Linked DNA regions of Notamacropus eugenii. The protein of the gene in region 2 purifies or fractionates together with the protein of the main gene of each other region. This does not show direct contact. Links are inferred from orthologs where the notes say so. Each region holds a gene or a part of one and is shown on either strand. Other genes may lie near its edges.

The links.
Region 1: the proteins of CHD4 (region 2) and EHMT2 purify together in Homo sapiens (affinity purification with western blotting; 3 studies listed by BioGRID and IntAct, with this or other methods). This does not show direct contact. The link is inferred for Notamacropus eugenii from reciprocal best matches to the Homo sapiens genes CHD4 and EHMT2.

Annotation. Positions count from the first base shown.
Region 1 is NC_092873.1:85,598,129-85,605,861, forward strand, and holds the start of EHMT2 (histone-lysine N-methyltransferase EHMT2), read right to left. Parts: upstream 3,015-7,733; 5' UTR 2,999-3,014; coding exon 2,716-2,998; intron 2,458-2,715; coding exon 2,236-2,457; intron 2,130-2,235; coding exon 1,858-2,129; intron 1,756-1,857; coding exon 1,671-1,755; intron 1,538-1,670; coding exon 1,479-1,537; intron 1-1,478. Other genes in the region: ZBTB12 (zinc finger and BTB domain-containing protein 12), read right to left, coding at 5,786-7,219. UniProt on the Homo sapiens protein: Histone methyltransferase that specifically mono- and dimethylates 'Lys-9' of histone H3 (H3K9me1 and H3K9me2, respectively) in euchromatin.
Region 2 is NC_092874.1:194,885,397-194,893,095, forward strand, and holds the start of CHD4 (chromodomain-helicase-DNA-binding protein 4), read right to left. Parts: upstream 3,008-7,699; 5' UTR 2,290-3,007; intron 2,127-2,289; 5' UTR 2,049-2,126; coding exon 1,952-2,048; intron 1-1,951. UniProt on the Homo sapiens protein: ATP-dependent chromatin-remodeling factor that binds and distorts nucleosomal DNA. Acts as a component of the histone deacetylase NuRD complex which participates in the remodeling of chromatin.

The sequences.
Region 1 (7,733 bases), on a different chromosome or scaffold from region 2:
TTTCCTGGCTCTCATCCTACCTATCTGGATCCACTTCCATGTCATACTCTAGGGTTTCCCTCAAGATTCTGTCCCCGGCCCCTCTTCTTTCTATATACTACTTTACCTGGTGATCTAATTAACTCCCATGAATTTAATTACCATCTCTATAACAATGTCATTCTGAAATCTACCTCTCCTGCCCCAATCTCTCTGCTGATGCCCAATCTCATATCTCCAACTGTCTTTCAGACATTTCAAACTGGATGTCAAGTAGACACCTTAAAATCAGTATGTTCAAAATGGAACTCATTACGTTTCTCCCAAACCACCTTTCCCCCTTTTCCCCTTTCTTATTATTATAGAAGGCAACACCATCCTCCCAGTCCCTCAGGCTCACAACCTAGGAGTCAGCTGGACTGCTTACTATGTCTCATTCTACCGTATCCAATCTGTTGCCAAGCCTTGTCAATTTCACCTTTGCAACAACTCTTGTATATGCCCCTTCTCTGACAGTTATTACTATGATAATATAGGACCTCATTACCTCATGCCTACACAATTACAAGAGCGTACTGCTGGGTCAGCCTGCCTCAAGCCTTTCTCCCCCCTCCAATCCATCCTCTATTGAGCCACTAATGTGATTTTTCTAAAGCGCAGGTCTGATAATGTCACCCCCCCCCCCCCAACTTGACAATCTCCAGTGGTTTCCTACTGCCTCCAAGTTCAAATACAAAATGTTCTGTTTAGCATTCAAAGCTCTTGTAAGTCTTCTTACACCCTAATCTGAAACACATATTCTTTGATCCGGTGACACTGGCCTCCTGGTTGTTCTACAAACAAGACACTCCTTCTGTGGGCTCTGGGCATTTTCTCTGGCTGTCCCCCAGGCCAATCATTCGCTCTAAAGACCTCCCCTTTGGTTTCCTTTAAGTTCCAATTAAAATTCCCTCTTTTACTAGAAGTCTTAACCAACCCTCTTAATTCCAGTGCCCTCCCCCAGTTAATTATTTCCTATTTCTCCTGTATATAACTCATATTTGTATACATGTTGTCTCCCTCACTGACCATAAAATCCTTGAGGGCAAGGACTTTCTTTTGCCTCTTTTTGTATCCCCAGCTTTTAGTACAGGGCCTGACATATAGTAGGAGCTTAATAAACGTTGATTGATTGATAGACATGGTTAAATCTCCTAAATGGCAGAAACTATCTTTCTTCTTTGTATCACCCTGTGTACCTTGCACTTAAAAAGGCACCTTAGTGTTTTAAATACTAGAGACTTGTACCACCCAAGAGTCAGTACCTCTCCCCTCCCCAGCCTTACTCCAGCTGAGTTGTCCTGTTAGCAAATCTCTTCTCTAAGGAACTAAAATATTCTATTTCCACACCTCTCTCCTCTTTCCACTCCATTTTAGTACTTGTTTTCCTCTCAAAGATGCTGGCACTCTGTTCTTAGCTCCCTTATTGCCCCTTGGTCCAGTCCCTGATGCAGCCTTACCAAGCCTCTCTTGTGGGACCCTGCACTTCCCAAGTCCAGCTTCCTCCTTTTGGCAGTGTCTGGAAGAGATAAAGTAAGGTTTTTCTCTTCAAACCTAAGCAAGATTTTTGATACCCCAAACCAAAGTTAACTGTTGTCCCAATGGTATAGGCGAGAAAGAAGCTAGAATCTATCTATGGTTGAAGGATATACCTGTTCCCATATCCCCCATTGAGTGAAGATCATCACTCATTCGAAAATGCTGAACTTCAGGGGGGCGTTTCTCAGGGACTGGAGGCTAGGGAATACACAGAAAGGAAGATAAGACTCCCCTCTTCCCCCCAACTCCCGCTCCTTATTACAAGATATACCTCTTCCCTTCCCTGCACATGCCCTTTACCTGTCCATTCCCTGGTTTGGACATGGTTTTTCGAGCTCGGTGGACCTTGGGCTTCCCTTCAGGGCTGGTGGGGGTGGGGGTAGGGGTCGGGGTAGGGGCAGGCTCAGGCCCAGCCCCAGCCCCTTGTGCCCCAGGCATGCTCAACAGCCGCATGGCTAAACTCTGGACTGAGGGAGGTGATTTCCCGGTCCCTGTCATGGTAATCTTCGCCCGGCTTGGGCAGGTGCTGCCCCCTTTGCTGGGGGACGAGGGAAAGGACTTAGTGGCATGGCCTGGACAACATGGTTGGGAGAGAGAGGAGGGAAAACGGTATGACCTGAGAGCCCAGTTCTCCCTGCTCCCTGAATTCCCCAACCTCAAGCTCTCCCAAATCCTTACCTAACAACATCCTACCACTGTGGATGCCCTCATCTCCCTCTGAACTCTCTGGCTCTTCACCAATGAGGGGTGTGGACCCCACTGGGGTGTCAGCACCCTCATCTCCTACAGTCACTGTGACTGAGGCAGGAGATGAGGGGCCAGTGGGTTCCACAGACTCGGGATGGTCCTGGGGTGGGGTCTCCTCTCCAGGAGACTTATCTCCTGAGGAGGAGCTAAGACCTGAGAAGAAAAAAGAAAGGTTGGGGAGTGAGGGGTGTCATGAATACCAAGATCCCCACAAGACACACAGACATATACACACACAGTTGGGGAACATGATTCCTTTCAGGAAGAGATCTAAGGGGAAAGGGCAACTTACCATCCTGCCAGGTTGTTCCAGATAGGAAAAAGAAGAGGGTATTGGGAAGCAGACTGCTTTCACAACAGGGAAGAAGAGGGGGCTGGGGAGCAGACATCCTGTATACACTGTATGCTTACCTCTCTCTGCAGTTCCCCGAGGTTCTTTCTCCAGCAGCAGCGCCCCCCCCATCTCACCAGGGGCCTCCCCCTGCGAGGGGAGACAAGGGGTAGGGGGACTGGTCAACCCGGCTGGGGGCAGAGGAACCCAGGACGCCTGGGTCCGGGCGGAAGAGAGCAGGCTTCGCCCCCGTCCCCGGCCCCGATGGGTTGCCCCTCGCCCTCTGCCGCGACTCCCAGGAAGTGGCCCTCGCCCTCTCCCCCGGGTCCGAAGGGACCCCCTCCCCCTTGGTAGCCCCCGCATCCCGGGAGCAGAAAGGAGGGGAGGGGGCGTGGCCAATGCGCCCCGGCCCCGCCCCCTCCTCCCGGGTGCTCGAGACGCTCCCCCTTTGTCCCCGGAGCCGCGGGGGCCCCGCGCGACACCCCCCCCGGCACCCACTCCCCCCCAGCTTGGCGGCCTGCCCCGCGCACCCCGTGCGCGTGCCCCTGGGACCCCGGCTCCATCCGCCCATCCGGGGGTGGCCAGCGGCTGCACGCGCACCTCCGTGCCCGCTTCCCCCGCCTCCCATCCCCTGGTCCCCTCCCCGGCCCCCGGCGCTGGCCCCCCGGCTTGTTGCAAGCCCGGCTCGGGCCCCCCGGCCCCGTTGCACCCCCGGAGCATTGCACGAGTGCGCGCTTCCCCCGGGCGCGCGCGCGGGCGGGCATGCACCCGCCTCCCCCCCCTCCCCTTCCGCACCTCGGCGGCCGCCGCCGCTGCAGCTCCCGCCGCCGCCGCCATAGCCGCTCGCGCGGGGGGCCCAGGAGGCGCGCGGCCGCCCGGGTCACGTGGGCCGGGGGGGGATGGGGGAGTTGTGAAAGGGGGGAGGAGGAAGAGAACCCTTAAAGGAGCCGTGGCCTATTCCATTGCCATTTTCCCGGGATAGGATCCCGGAGGGCTGCGGAGGATGCCCGGGATGGGGCTGGCGGGGGCGCTTCGGAGGCCACTTCGATCTGGCCGCCCCAGCCTTCACCATGGGGGGGCGAGCGCGGGCGCTCTGCCGGAGTGTCTGGACTGGGGGCGGGGGCCGCCGCTGCGGTGCGAGTCTATTGCCCAATAACTCCCGAGCCGCGGTTCGTCCGGTCCGGGTGTCCCGGGAAGGGGAAGGACCGTGCCTCTGCCTCCGATCTCGGTCCGGGCAGGAGCAGGAGAGAAGCCTTTGCTCCTGGAGGCGGGAATGGGGGTACTCCGAGACGCTCTTCCCCTTTACCTAGGGCTTTTACTCCCGGCTCTTATTGTGAGTAATTAGGGCTTAGTTAAAGACCACTCCAATCCCGCCCGGCCGTCCACGGATCTCTCCAAGAACTTAATTCAATCACAACTTCGCTAATGTCATCACGACCAGAAGAACAGACGCCGCGGTCCCAGCACAGACGGACGCCCCGCCTCAGCAGCCTGTACTACAGCCCTCGAACCCGGAGGACTCCACAGCCCCGGGCTCTGTGGGTTGGCACTGGGCACCCGGGGCCGCCTCTGAGGCCTCCTGGGAGCTGTAGTTTGCACAAGCTGCGAGCCGCCTCTAAAGTTTTCCGCCAACTCGCAGACTCGAAGTAGTATTGGAGAAGGGCCCCAGGGTCCATCTAGTTCGGGGGTTCTTAACCTTTTTGGGGGCGTCATGGACACTCCTTTGGCAGACTGGTGAGGCTGATGGATCCCTTCCCAGAAAAAATTTTAAAATTCGTAATTGAAGGAAATGCTGTTTGTTTGAGCTTAGTGGGAAAAAAACCCAAATACATTTCTACCCCATCCAAGACCATCATCCCAATTTGAGAACGCCCTGATGTAGTCTAATCCTCTCACTTTGTAGAAGCAATAGGCTCAGATGCCCCTTCTCATAGCTAGATAATGACAAGAGCTGGGACTGAAAGACAATGGCCCGACTTCACCATAATGAAGAGTACTTAGAATTTTGAAAAGTACTGCTGAAACGGGTTTACATGATTTTTGCCCACATGGTGAGGAGACCAGGAGGTGACTAAAAACACTGGACAGGCACAGGAAACTCAACAGAAGCAGAAGATGGAAGGCCAGGGTATTCTTAGGAAAGAGCTGTTGGCTGAAGGTACCAGGATGCTCAGAATGGAAAACTAGGGAATGGAAAAAGGAAGTATCAGACTCAGACAACAAACGTTAAGAATTTTTTTTTTATTTTGTGGAAAAGCGGAAACTGAGACTTCAGATTCCAGAAAACTCCTGAAAAATATGTCTGTTTCCTTAAAAAATACCATTATGTCTCTACCACACCCTTTCCCTCCCCTCCCCAAGAGCCTTTTTCTAGGTATTTTCCTTTTCTCCCCATATCCCCTCCCCAACCCTTACTACTTCTGACTTTTCTTATTTTGCCTCTATTTGTTTTCTAGTCTACTTCCATTCTCCTTTTTTCTTTCATATTATAACCATTTGTCACTTTTTGTCTCCTGAGACAAAAGCCCGTCCCAGTCCCCTTCCCTCCTCCCTCGCATGCAAAAAAAGACATTCTCTACCCTTTCTCCCTGGGACTTGTTAACCTTTTCCTCATAATAGTTGCTCTCCCAGGAATTTAAGAGGTTTCCCCTGTTCTATTACCACCCAAGGACAGGTATAGCTTTGGTAAGATACCCTCCCAATTCCCACCCACCCTACCTCAACTGAGTTGTCTTCTCTATAGCTTTCTTACCCAATGATAAAACCATCTTCTATTTCCCCTTTTTACTACTTACACCCTGCACACCATCCTCACCTCAATTATCTACTTATTCCAGAAAAGAGCCATCCCTCTTCCTGGGCCCTTTTATCCTAGAAAACAGGAACCATTTCTTTCCTCATCATCCCAAGGAATGGTTAGTTAATCTCCTCAGCAAGGTCTTTTAACCCCTTCTTATTCTCAGAGGAAGACCTGAGCTGTTCTTTTGTTAAGACCTCTGCCTTTAACCCCAAGATGTATGTTAACTCTCCTGGAAACAGAAAAGCCCCCTTCCCCTTCAAACTTCCTCCCCTTTTGGAGAGAGAATCTTTCATCACCCCCCTCTACCAGCAATCTCACCTCACCCCTTCCCCTAGTTATCCTTCCTCCAGCTAGTGGAGGAGGGCATTGAGCTCTGACACACTGGCATCAAGGACATTCTCTGCTGTGGTCTTGCCATGCTGCTCCTTGAGGTGTCGACGAATGGCAGGTTTATGGGCAAATCGCACATCACAGTAAGAACAACGGTAGGGTCGAGCCCCAGAGTGAAGGTTGAGGTGGTCGTGTAGAGTAGACTTCTGTGTAAAGCATTTGCCACAAATACCACAGGAGTGTGACTTGACACCTCGGTGAACGTTCATGTGACGGTTGAGGTTGCTGCTATGATTGAACTGCTTCCCACATCGAGGGCACATAAAGATGAAGTGCTGGGCTCTCATATGGAACACAAGTTTTTCCACACCCTGAAATACTTCTGGGCACTTGGTACACTTGATGTTCTTCAGTGGGTTTCCCACTGGGGAGCCCCCTGGTATAGGACTCCTCATGCCCCCATAACTCCCACTAACTCCACTGCTCCGGGACATAGTGGCTGCAGCTAGGGCTTCATCTCCCAGCCCAAGGGTAATGCCCTCCCCTACTTGACCTCCAGGAAACAGCAACAGACCCTCCCCTTCCGCATCTTCTGTAAGGCTATAGCAGGCCTTCACCACTCCCTGGGGTGCTGTGCTATCATCAGGGGCATCAATAGTTTCTCCAACTTCATTGATGAGGAGTCCGCTACTCCCTCCAAGGCCAAGACCCCCTCCAAGGTTAAGGTTCCCCCCAAGCCCAAGGCTCCCTCCAAGCCCAAGGCTCCCCCCAATGCCTCCAGGGGGCTTAAGCCTCTGTGCCACTTCCAATGCTGATTCCACCTTGACAATGCAGATATCTGATACATCCTCATCTTCATCCTCTTCTTCTTCTTCTGCCTTTAGCTCAAGATCCTCATCGAGGGGAAATTCTAGCTTCACTGGTCGGAGAAGAGGAGGTGGAGGAGGTGGTGGTGGGGGTTTGGGAGCTGGTTTAGGGGTTCGAGCGGGTGGGAGGAGTGACTTGGTGGAGCTGAGCCCAGTCAATCCAATCCCTCCACTGACTCCATCCTCTTTTAGGCCAATCTTGGGTTCAATGAATTGGCTCAGGGCATTTCTACATTTTTCTACCACGTGCTCCATTTGGAGATAAGAGGCAGCAGTCAGGTAGTTGACAATGTCCCGGACAGCAAACTCCAGAGCACCTGTATAGCAGGAGAGGAGGAGGTCTGCCACGATTCTGGCACTGTGCATTAGCGAGACCTGCAGCTCTGAACTGGGATTGAGGAGAAACTGGTCACGAAGAAATGGGGAGCAAGCTGCCAAGATAACCTTGTGGCCCCGGAACTTGAGGCTGTCGGCCACAATGGTGACATCGCAGAAGCGCTCTTCTGCCCGAAGCTGGTTCATGTTTCGAAGGGTAGCAGCCTCATGTCCTGGGAGCTGGAATCGCAAGACTTCCACTCCAGAGGCCATGGTACTGGGTGGGCTGGGGGAGTTCCCTGTGTTTGGTGGAGGGCAAATTAGTTAGGAAGCCGGTCTTTCCCCCTTCCCCAAGCCTCGGCCCCCTACTCTCACCTCTTTCCCGCTCCCCGGGGGCAGAGGCAAGCTACTTTCTTCTCCAGACCACCCCCTACCCCTCAGTTTGGGCTCCGTCCCATCCCAGGGGGAGGGGAGGGAACTCGAAGTCCCACGAGGGGCGGAGGTCGCATACTTTCTTCCCCCAAGCATCCTACCCACGAACTGGGGGCCCAGACAAGAGAGGGGGGAGGTGTGCTTGAGAGGTGTGTAGGGGGGAGGGGCAGGGATTTGAGGGTTCCCTTGTCAGGGGCACGCTCGCCCTTTCCCCGCCTCCCTGGGCACGTTTACACGCGCCCGTTCCCGGCACCCCCCACCCGTACGTGCCGCGCACGCCCCCCCATCCCCACCCCAGCACGTTACTCCCCTGCCCCCCAACCCTCGGGGCCCAGTTGCTCCGCAGAACTTGTCC
Region 2 (7,699 bases):
CCCCCCAACCTCTCAGGCAAAGAATGTGCTGACCTGGCCAACATCATACTAGTTGAGATCTGGAGGAAGATTTGGGAAAGGGACAGGAACGGGGTGTGGCAGAGTGGAAAAACTGGGTCATAGAACAGCTTGGGGCAGAGTTCATCTTGGGAGTCTATACAGCTTCCAGCTAGGACAGGAACAACCCCAGCCCTGGGGGCCAACAGAGGGGGAAAAGAGAATAATTGCCTATGGTTCACCTATCCTCTGGGCCAAGACCACAGGGCAACTCTACCGTTTGTCAAGAAAAGGATAGGACCACCCTGCCTCCTTGGACAACACAACAACTATATGGTACCCTAGCCTACATGAACCAAAAGAGTTCAAAATTTGGCCCTCCACTATACCAGACTAAAGCAAAGGACAGGGGAAGATAGGGATTAACATCTACCCAAACAACTATGAAGGGTATAGCAGAGGCTCCACTACACACATCCGTGACCCCAACTTAGCCCCAAATCTAGAAGCATTTCTAAGGCAGCCCAGTTCTTGTCAAAAGTAAAGAAAATTAAAAATAAAAAAGATAGTCACTGGGGAACCTAAGCAAGATCAGTAGCCTTTGGAATGCAAGAATGGCTGGCTCAGATAACAAAAGCAGTAGTTAACATTTATATACCACTTTTAAGGTTTACAAAGTACTTTCCATACATTTTCTCATTTGAACTTCACAATAACTTTGTGAAGTAGGTTCTACACATCTATTTTCTCCATTTAACTGAAGACCAAACTGAGGCTCAGAGAGGTTTCTTGGCTGGCTAACGGCCACACAGCTAACAACAGAATGTGATTCCAGGGCTCACTACACTGTCTCTCTGATACTTCAAGATCCAATAGAAGAAGAAAGTTCTCATGAATAGACAATAGGGAGGATAAGAAAATCTGAGATGGGGAATAAAGAAAACAAGTAGGAGAACAAAAAGGCCAGTTTAGGGGCAGGAGAGAAGACAAGACAAGCATACAGCATCTCTCCATCTGAGCAGTGAACTAAAGCTCTGCTCCTCAGGACTGGTCAGTACCATCTCCGAAAAGCACAGGATAAATCAGACTACTTCAATTTGCCTGGTGCAAAGTCCCACCCCAAACACATATAACACACCTCTATACTTTCCTCTCCCCCTTCACCAAGATAAACATACTTTCCCAGACACAAAGTCTTCTGTTAAACATTCCTTCCCTAAAAAGAATGATGGAAAGTCTTTAAAAAAAATTCCTTCCTACTCAAATGTACTGGGGGAGCTCCTCTGCTCCCCAAACCCTCAAACCTTGTCTTCTAGATCATTAACATATTCCCTCAGCTTTCATTCCCCAACCAAAACACTCCAGCAATTTGCCTGGCTGCAAGTGCTCCATATCCCGGCTGTGAGCGAGATTCAAACTTTGCACAGTTCAGTCAGCAGAGAGAACAGAAAACCGGTAACTGATCACTGGCTAAAAATAAACTGAATAAGAGAACCCAGCAATCCCTGTTTATACTTTCCAAGGCATCACTGACCCCTACCCCCAAGACCCCACTAGATTTCAGGGAAGCTTGGCCACTCTGCCCCAAAACCCTAAGGCCAAGTCACAAAGCACTGGCTGACCATAACCTAAGCTTACTGCCACCCTATTCATTCTAAGCTTCACATAGAGCAAAATCTTCATCTCACCGTGAGCTCAGACCCTACAAATGGGCACAGATGGGCACTAAATGTCATCTCCAAGACACCTCAATCCATGATGCCCAAGGCAGAAACACATGGCTGCCATCACCCTTTTTACAGGGGAGCTCAGAAGAATTGAACCACTCCCTCTAGATACCCTCCCACCTCAGATCCTGCAAAGAGAGGCATTACCCAACCCTGCCCCAACAGTCACTAGGGGAAGGCCCCAAAGCCTCCTCTTTCCCAGCCTGTGGCCCCTTCTGAGCACTTACCTGGGTGGGGTGGGGGAAGGCTGTTTAGAAGCACCTCCATGTCCTCTTCCTCACTGCCTGCTGAGCAGGGGGATGGGGAGCCCAGGCCTGAAGCCATCCCCTTCCACTCCTGGCCAGGGAATTGGCCCAGCTGCTCCTGCCTCCGGCCTGGGGCCCTCTGTGCTGGCCCGAGTCACTGTGCAGAGGAGGGGGGAGGGGGGAAGAGACAGAGAAAGAGAGAGAACAGTCAGTGACGTGCACTGTCCCTGTCCCCCTCCCCCACCCCACCCCCACCTATTCTTTCCACCCACCACCCCACCAACCCCCCCTTGCCACTTGGGCCAGACGGCAAAACCCACTTGAACTGAACTTCGTTCTTCAGCGTTTCGGGGGAAGGGTCCGGGATGGGCCTCGCTCCCCGTGAGGAAGGCTAAGGCCAGAGGTGGGGCAGGGGCAGGAAGGAAGGGGCCCTTCCCTCCTCCAGGGCCAAGCGGGCATTGTGGGAGGACAGCTGAGGGCCGTAAGGAGAAGGGGCCAGAGCCCGGCGGGCTACGAGAGGGGCGATTCTCGGAGGCGGAAGGTCAGTGGGGGGCGGGAAGGGCCAGCTCCCGGACGCCGGGAGGGGTCAGTGCCCACTGAGGGCAGCTGATCCCGGGAGCGCTTCAGGTTTTCCAGGGAGCCAAGGGAAGGGGGCGGGTGGAGTCTCCAGACTTGAGCCCGGTCTGGAGCGGGGGAGAGAAGGGGGGGAAAGGGTCTGCAGGCTAACCTGGGGAGGGGGGCCAGGCCACGTGTCCCGGGGAACAAGCCCGCAAAGGGCAGCAGGGGGGGGGGGCAGGCGCCTAACACATTAGGAAGCCGCCCCCTCCCCGCTGTCCTGGGGGGCCGAAAGGGCCCACGGAGCCCGAGGAGGCGCCTCCAAGCCTTGGGTGGGGGAGGGCTCTGCTCTCCTCGGGCCCTTGGGGGCTCGGAGGGGGGGGCCGCCAGCCAGGTGTGAACGAGCTTTCTGCGGGACAGGGGAAGGACCCCCGGGGGAGTTTCTCTGGAAGGGGGTCTTTCCTTGGGGACCCCGCCCCCTCCTCACCCCGGAGCCGCGGGGTCCAGCTCTTGTAGCTCTCGCTCCCACTCCAGCTCCTCCTCGCCGCGGCCGAAGGGGGGAAAATGGCTCCGGCTCCGGCTTCGCCTCTTAAAGGGCCCGAAACACCGGCCGGGAAATCCCACAGCCCAAGCCCCGCCCCCCCCCCGCGGACAGCCCATAATAACCCCAACCAACTCCAACCCTCCCCAGTCCCCTTCCCCCCACCCTCCACCTTCCTCCCTGGATCTCCCCGGCAACGCCCGCCCCCTCGTCGCCCCAGCAACCATTGGCCCCGCCCCTTCATCGCTCGCGCGCGCGTGTCACCGGAGCAACCGCCCACCTCCCGGACATCCCATAATACTCGTGGACTCCCCCACTTCCATATACATATATGCCAGAGTTAGGGGCATCCCATAATACTCAGTTCCTTTGCAACTCAACCCTTTCTCCCCAAACATCCCATAATAACCATTCTCCTGCCAACTTCCCCACTCTAACCCCCCAGGATTGACATCCCATAATGATCCCTCTCACCCCTCCCTCTCCATGGCCATCCCATAATAACCACCCCTCCCAGCACTTCAGCCTTACATCCCATAATACTCACCCCCATCCCCCAACAGACATCCCATAATAACCACCCTCCATCCACCCCCAGTTTGACATCCCATAATATCCACCCTCGCCCTCTGCAACAACGGCCATTCAGGGCCCCTTCCCACACAACATCCCATAATAACCAGTCTCCCCCTTTCTATATAGACATCCCATAATAACCAACCCCATGGTAGCTCCCCCCAGCCCCTCCAGGCTAGTGTCCTCTGATAGTCTCACCACCATCATCCTCATCCTTTACACACTCACTCTGTAGTCTGGCAGCCCATAATAATCACCCCTCCCCTATATGCAGATGTCCCATAATGATCAGCACCCTCACTGTCACCCCACAGATGGACATCTAATCACCTCTTCCCTCAAGACATCCCATAATAATACAACTCTCCCACTCCAACCCAGATATCCCATAATAAACACCAGGGGCAGCTGGGCAGCCAGACATCCCATAATACTCCCAGAAACAACCTAGTGTCACATCCCATAATATCTCATTCTCCCCCCCATACTCTTCCAGCCAGGCAGCCCATAATACTCACATTCATACCTCCCCCATCTCCAGACACACAGTCCATACTAATCATCAGGAACAGGGAGGGCGAGGCAAGGCTACCCACACTGTCCAGTCTGCCCACACACACACATACACACACACCTCGCCCCATCCTGAGCCAGAACTGTATCCTGGAGTGATAGTCTCTGATGTCCCAGGTCCTGGCCTCCTGACTCTCCTATGGAGACCACCTGGAGCCCCACCCAGACGTATTGGAAACTGGAGATGCCAAACGCTTGGCTTCCACTCCCACCCCTGGTGAGCCGTCCAGGTGGATGGACCGTTTTCATGGAGCTTCCTCTTTCTCAGACTTCCCCATGATATTCACAGGGATCAGTGCAAAAGCTATCATATGGAGCTCCACTTAGTTCTCTTTCCCATCCTCAAGCCCTGGGTACTTGTTCATCAACATGCTCCAGCAACTCCTATGTTATGTGGCCTGACCCCCCCACCTGCCCAGGAGCAGGTACTTAACTGCTCACCCACATCCCATAGTGCACTTATTCATTCATCCGATATTTATTGAGTGCTTGCTGTGACATTGTGCTAGGCCCTGGAAGGATCACCAAAATGCCTTGCTTGTCCTCAAAAAGTTGAAAATCTAGTAGAGGTTAAGAAAGGGACATAAATAGCTATAATATATGTGACAAAATTGATACCAGAGAGGTACAAAACACTGTAGGAGTTCAAAGAGAGATAACTTCACTACTCAGCTGAGATTTCTAATATCACATAAACCAATCTCAACTATTCTGGACAATGTCCTGATCTCCAGTAACAAGTCCCTGATGGCTGTCACCCAAGGGAGGTGCCAGAGTGGCCTCATCTACAGTTGGGTTAAGGTAGCCTGTCAGCGATATTAAGAAACATCTCATACTATAGAAATATTCATCTCCCCTGAATCCTAAAATATTAACATTTTCCTCAGGACACTCACCAAAATCCCATAACATGCTATATCGTCCCATTACACATTACATCTTTAATGCTTTTTCAATGACTTTCCCTTTATGATATCCCATAGTGCTCCATTATTCCCATTCAACTAGTCCATCCTCCAACCCTATCTATCTGTCCCTGACTTCCCAGGATATTCTGTTACTCTCCATCCTTTTCTTCACATGCACCAACCACCACCAACATCCATCAAACTTTCTCACCCTAGAGCTATTGTAACAAGTGACACTTCTACCTACTATACAAAGTGGCCATCTTTGTCATCAGATAGTCCCCACCCTCTGTCCTGGAAACTGTGCCTAGAAGATCTTCCCCACCTCTACCCCTAGTTCCCTTTGCTTTTTAGAGGTCCAGCACTCCCATGGGCCTCTCTTCCATACTTCATCAAACCTTTTCCTTTCTGTCTGAAAAACCTCCCCCTGCCTCCCCCCCAACAGGCCCTAAATAAACAGGGTCTGGATTTCTTGTCTTCAATGAGCTTTCAGTAGCTTTGCACCCTAAACAAACACTTTTTTCTCAGCCTCTATATTGATTTCAGAAAGTCTGCCCTCTGGAATTTAAACTCTGTGGAAGATATTAATGGTTAGAAGCAGGGCTTACTTCACCAAAATGCATTCTCATAATGGGCTGTTAATTCATATAGCCTTTCCTTTAATTGCAAGCTCGTTTTCCTACACACAGGTATTCTTATCCAATCTGACAACTGATGGAAAACTAGCAACACTATTTTCCATTCCCACAACTTTCATTTATATCTCTTCTAAGCCCCTCAAACCACAAGGTCTCATTTTCTCTCTCTCTCTCTCTCTCTCTCTCTCTCTCTCTCTCTCTCTCTCTCTCTCTCTCTCTCTCTCTGCCAATTTCTTCTTCACAAAGACAGAGCAGTCACAGAATCTCATAGTTAAAAGGAACCTCCCCAGATCTTTAATCCAATCAGCACTTGAACACAAACCCCTTCTGCACCAGACCTGGCAGGTCAGGGTTCTGCCTTTACATGTGAGGGGAAACCCACTACGGGTCAAGACAGACCATTCCATTTTTAGGTAGCTCTAATTTTTAGGAAGCCTTTCTCTTACAGAAAGCCTAAATCTGTCTCTCCAACGTACACCCATTGCTCCTACTTCTATCGTCTGGGACCAAGCAGAAGAATTTTAATTCTTCTTTCACATGACACCCCAAAAGAGTTATTATATCTCACCCTGCCTAACCAAATTTTCTCTTCTCCAGGCTAAATACTGGTAGTTCCTTAAGCCAATTTTCTTATGGCATAGTCTCTAGTCTTCTCAACATCAAAATCACCCTGCTTCGAGATGCTCTCGTTTGTCTAGATCCATTTGAAAATGTGATGCACAATAGTCCAGATGTCATCTAACTAGGAGAGTACCAACTACTTCCTTTTTTCTGAACACTATGCCTCCTTAATGCAGCAAGGATAGCATTAGCTTTTATGGTTGTCTGTCACACTTAGAACCCATGTTGAGCCTGCAGTCCTTTAAGACTTCTAGCTTTTTTTCAAATGAACTTCTGACTAGTCAAGTATCTTTTGTCTTGTACTTGTGAGCTCCTTTTTAAAAAACTCAAGTGTAAGATTTTAGATTTATTCCTATTAATTGAAGGGTTGAATAAACTGTGGAACATTAATGTAATGGAATACTACAGTGCAATTAAAACTGACAAGTGTGAAGTATACAAAGAAATCTGGAAAGATCTTTATAAAATAATACAAAGTGACAAAAAGCAGAACCGGAAGAATAGAGAACACACATAATGACCAGATGATATAAGAGGAAAAGTGAAAGAGAGTAAATGGACTATGGGAGTAACCAAAAAGTTATAATGATATTTCATACACTGAAATCAACTTATTTAAATATTAGTCCAAAGGCATATTTAAATAGTCGTATTGATGCATGATATTGTTTATAATAAATTCTGTTTTAAAATGTATCATATTCAATTGTGTCTTATTAATATTCAGCGTAATATTCTTGTCTATTGAGATATTTTGGGATCCCAATTGTCATATAATGTGTTAACTACTCCTTCCAGCTTTGTATCACATATAAATTTGATGAACATGCCCTCTGTGCCTTTTTTCAAGTGACCGATAAAAATATTAAATAGCACAGAGCCAAAGACAGGTGTCTGGGATGTTCCACTAGAGATCTGTTTTCAAGTCATTAAATCATTGGGTTCATTGCAACTTTTCACTGTTTGGTCCTAGTCATTCTACCAGCGCTGAATCCACCTTACCAAACTCATTTAACCCATATCTTGTTCAGCTTGTCCACTAAGGTAACATGAGAGATTGTCAAATACCTTCACCAAAAACCATTCTTTCCATTATGCTGGATCCCTAAGTAACCCTGTTTCTCTCAGCACTTCAATTTCTCCCTCCCCCAATATCACCACAGCCATCCCATTCCCTCCCATATATCTAAGATACAGGATTGTTCTTTCAGTGTTTAATTCAATTAAAAAGACATTTATTAAGCACCTGGTGTTTAAGGTATTTTAAGGTACTATGCTCATTGCTTGGGATATAAAGAAAAAAATTGTCTCTGCCCTC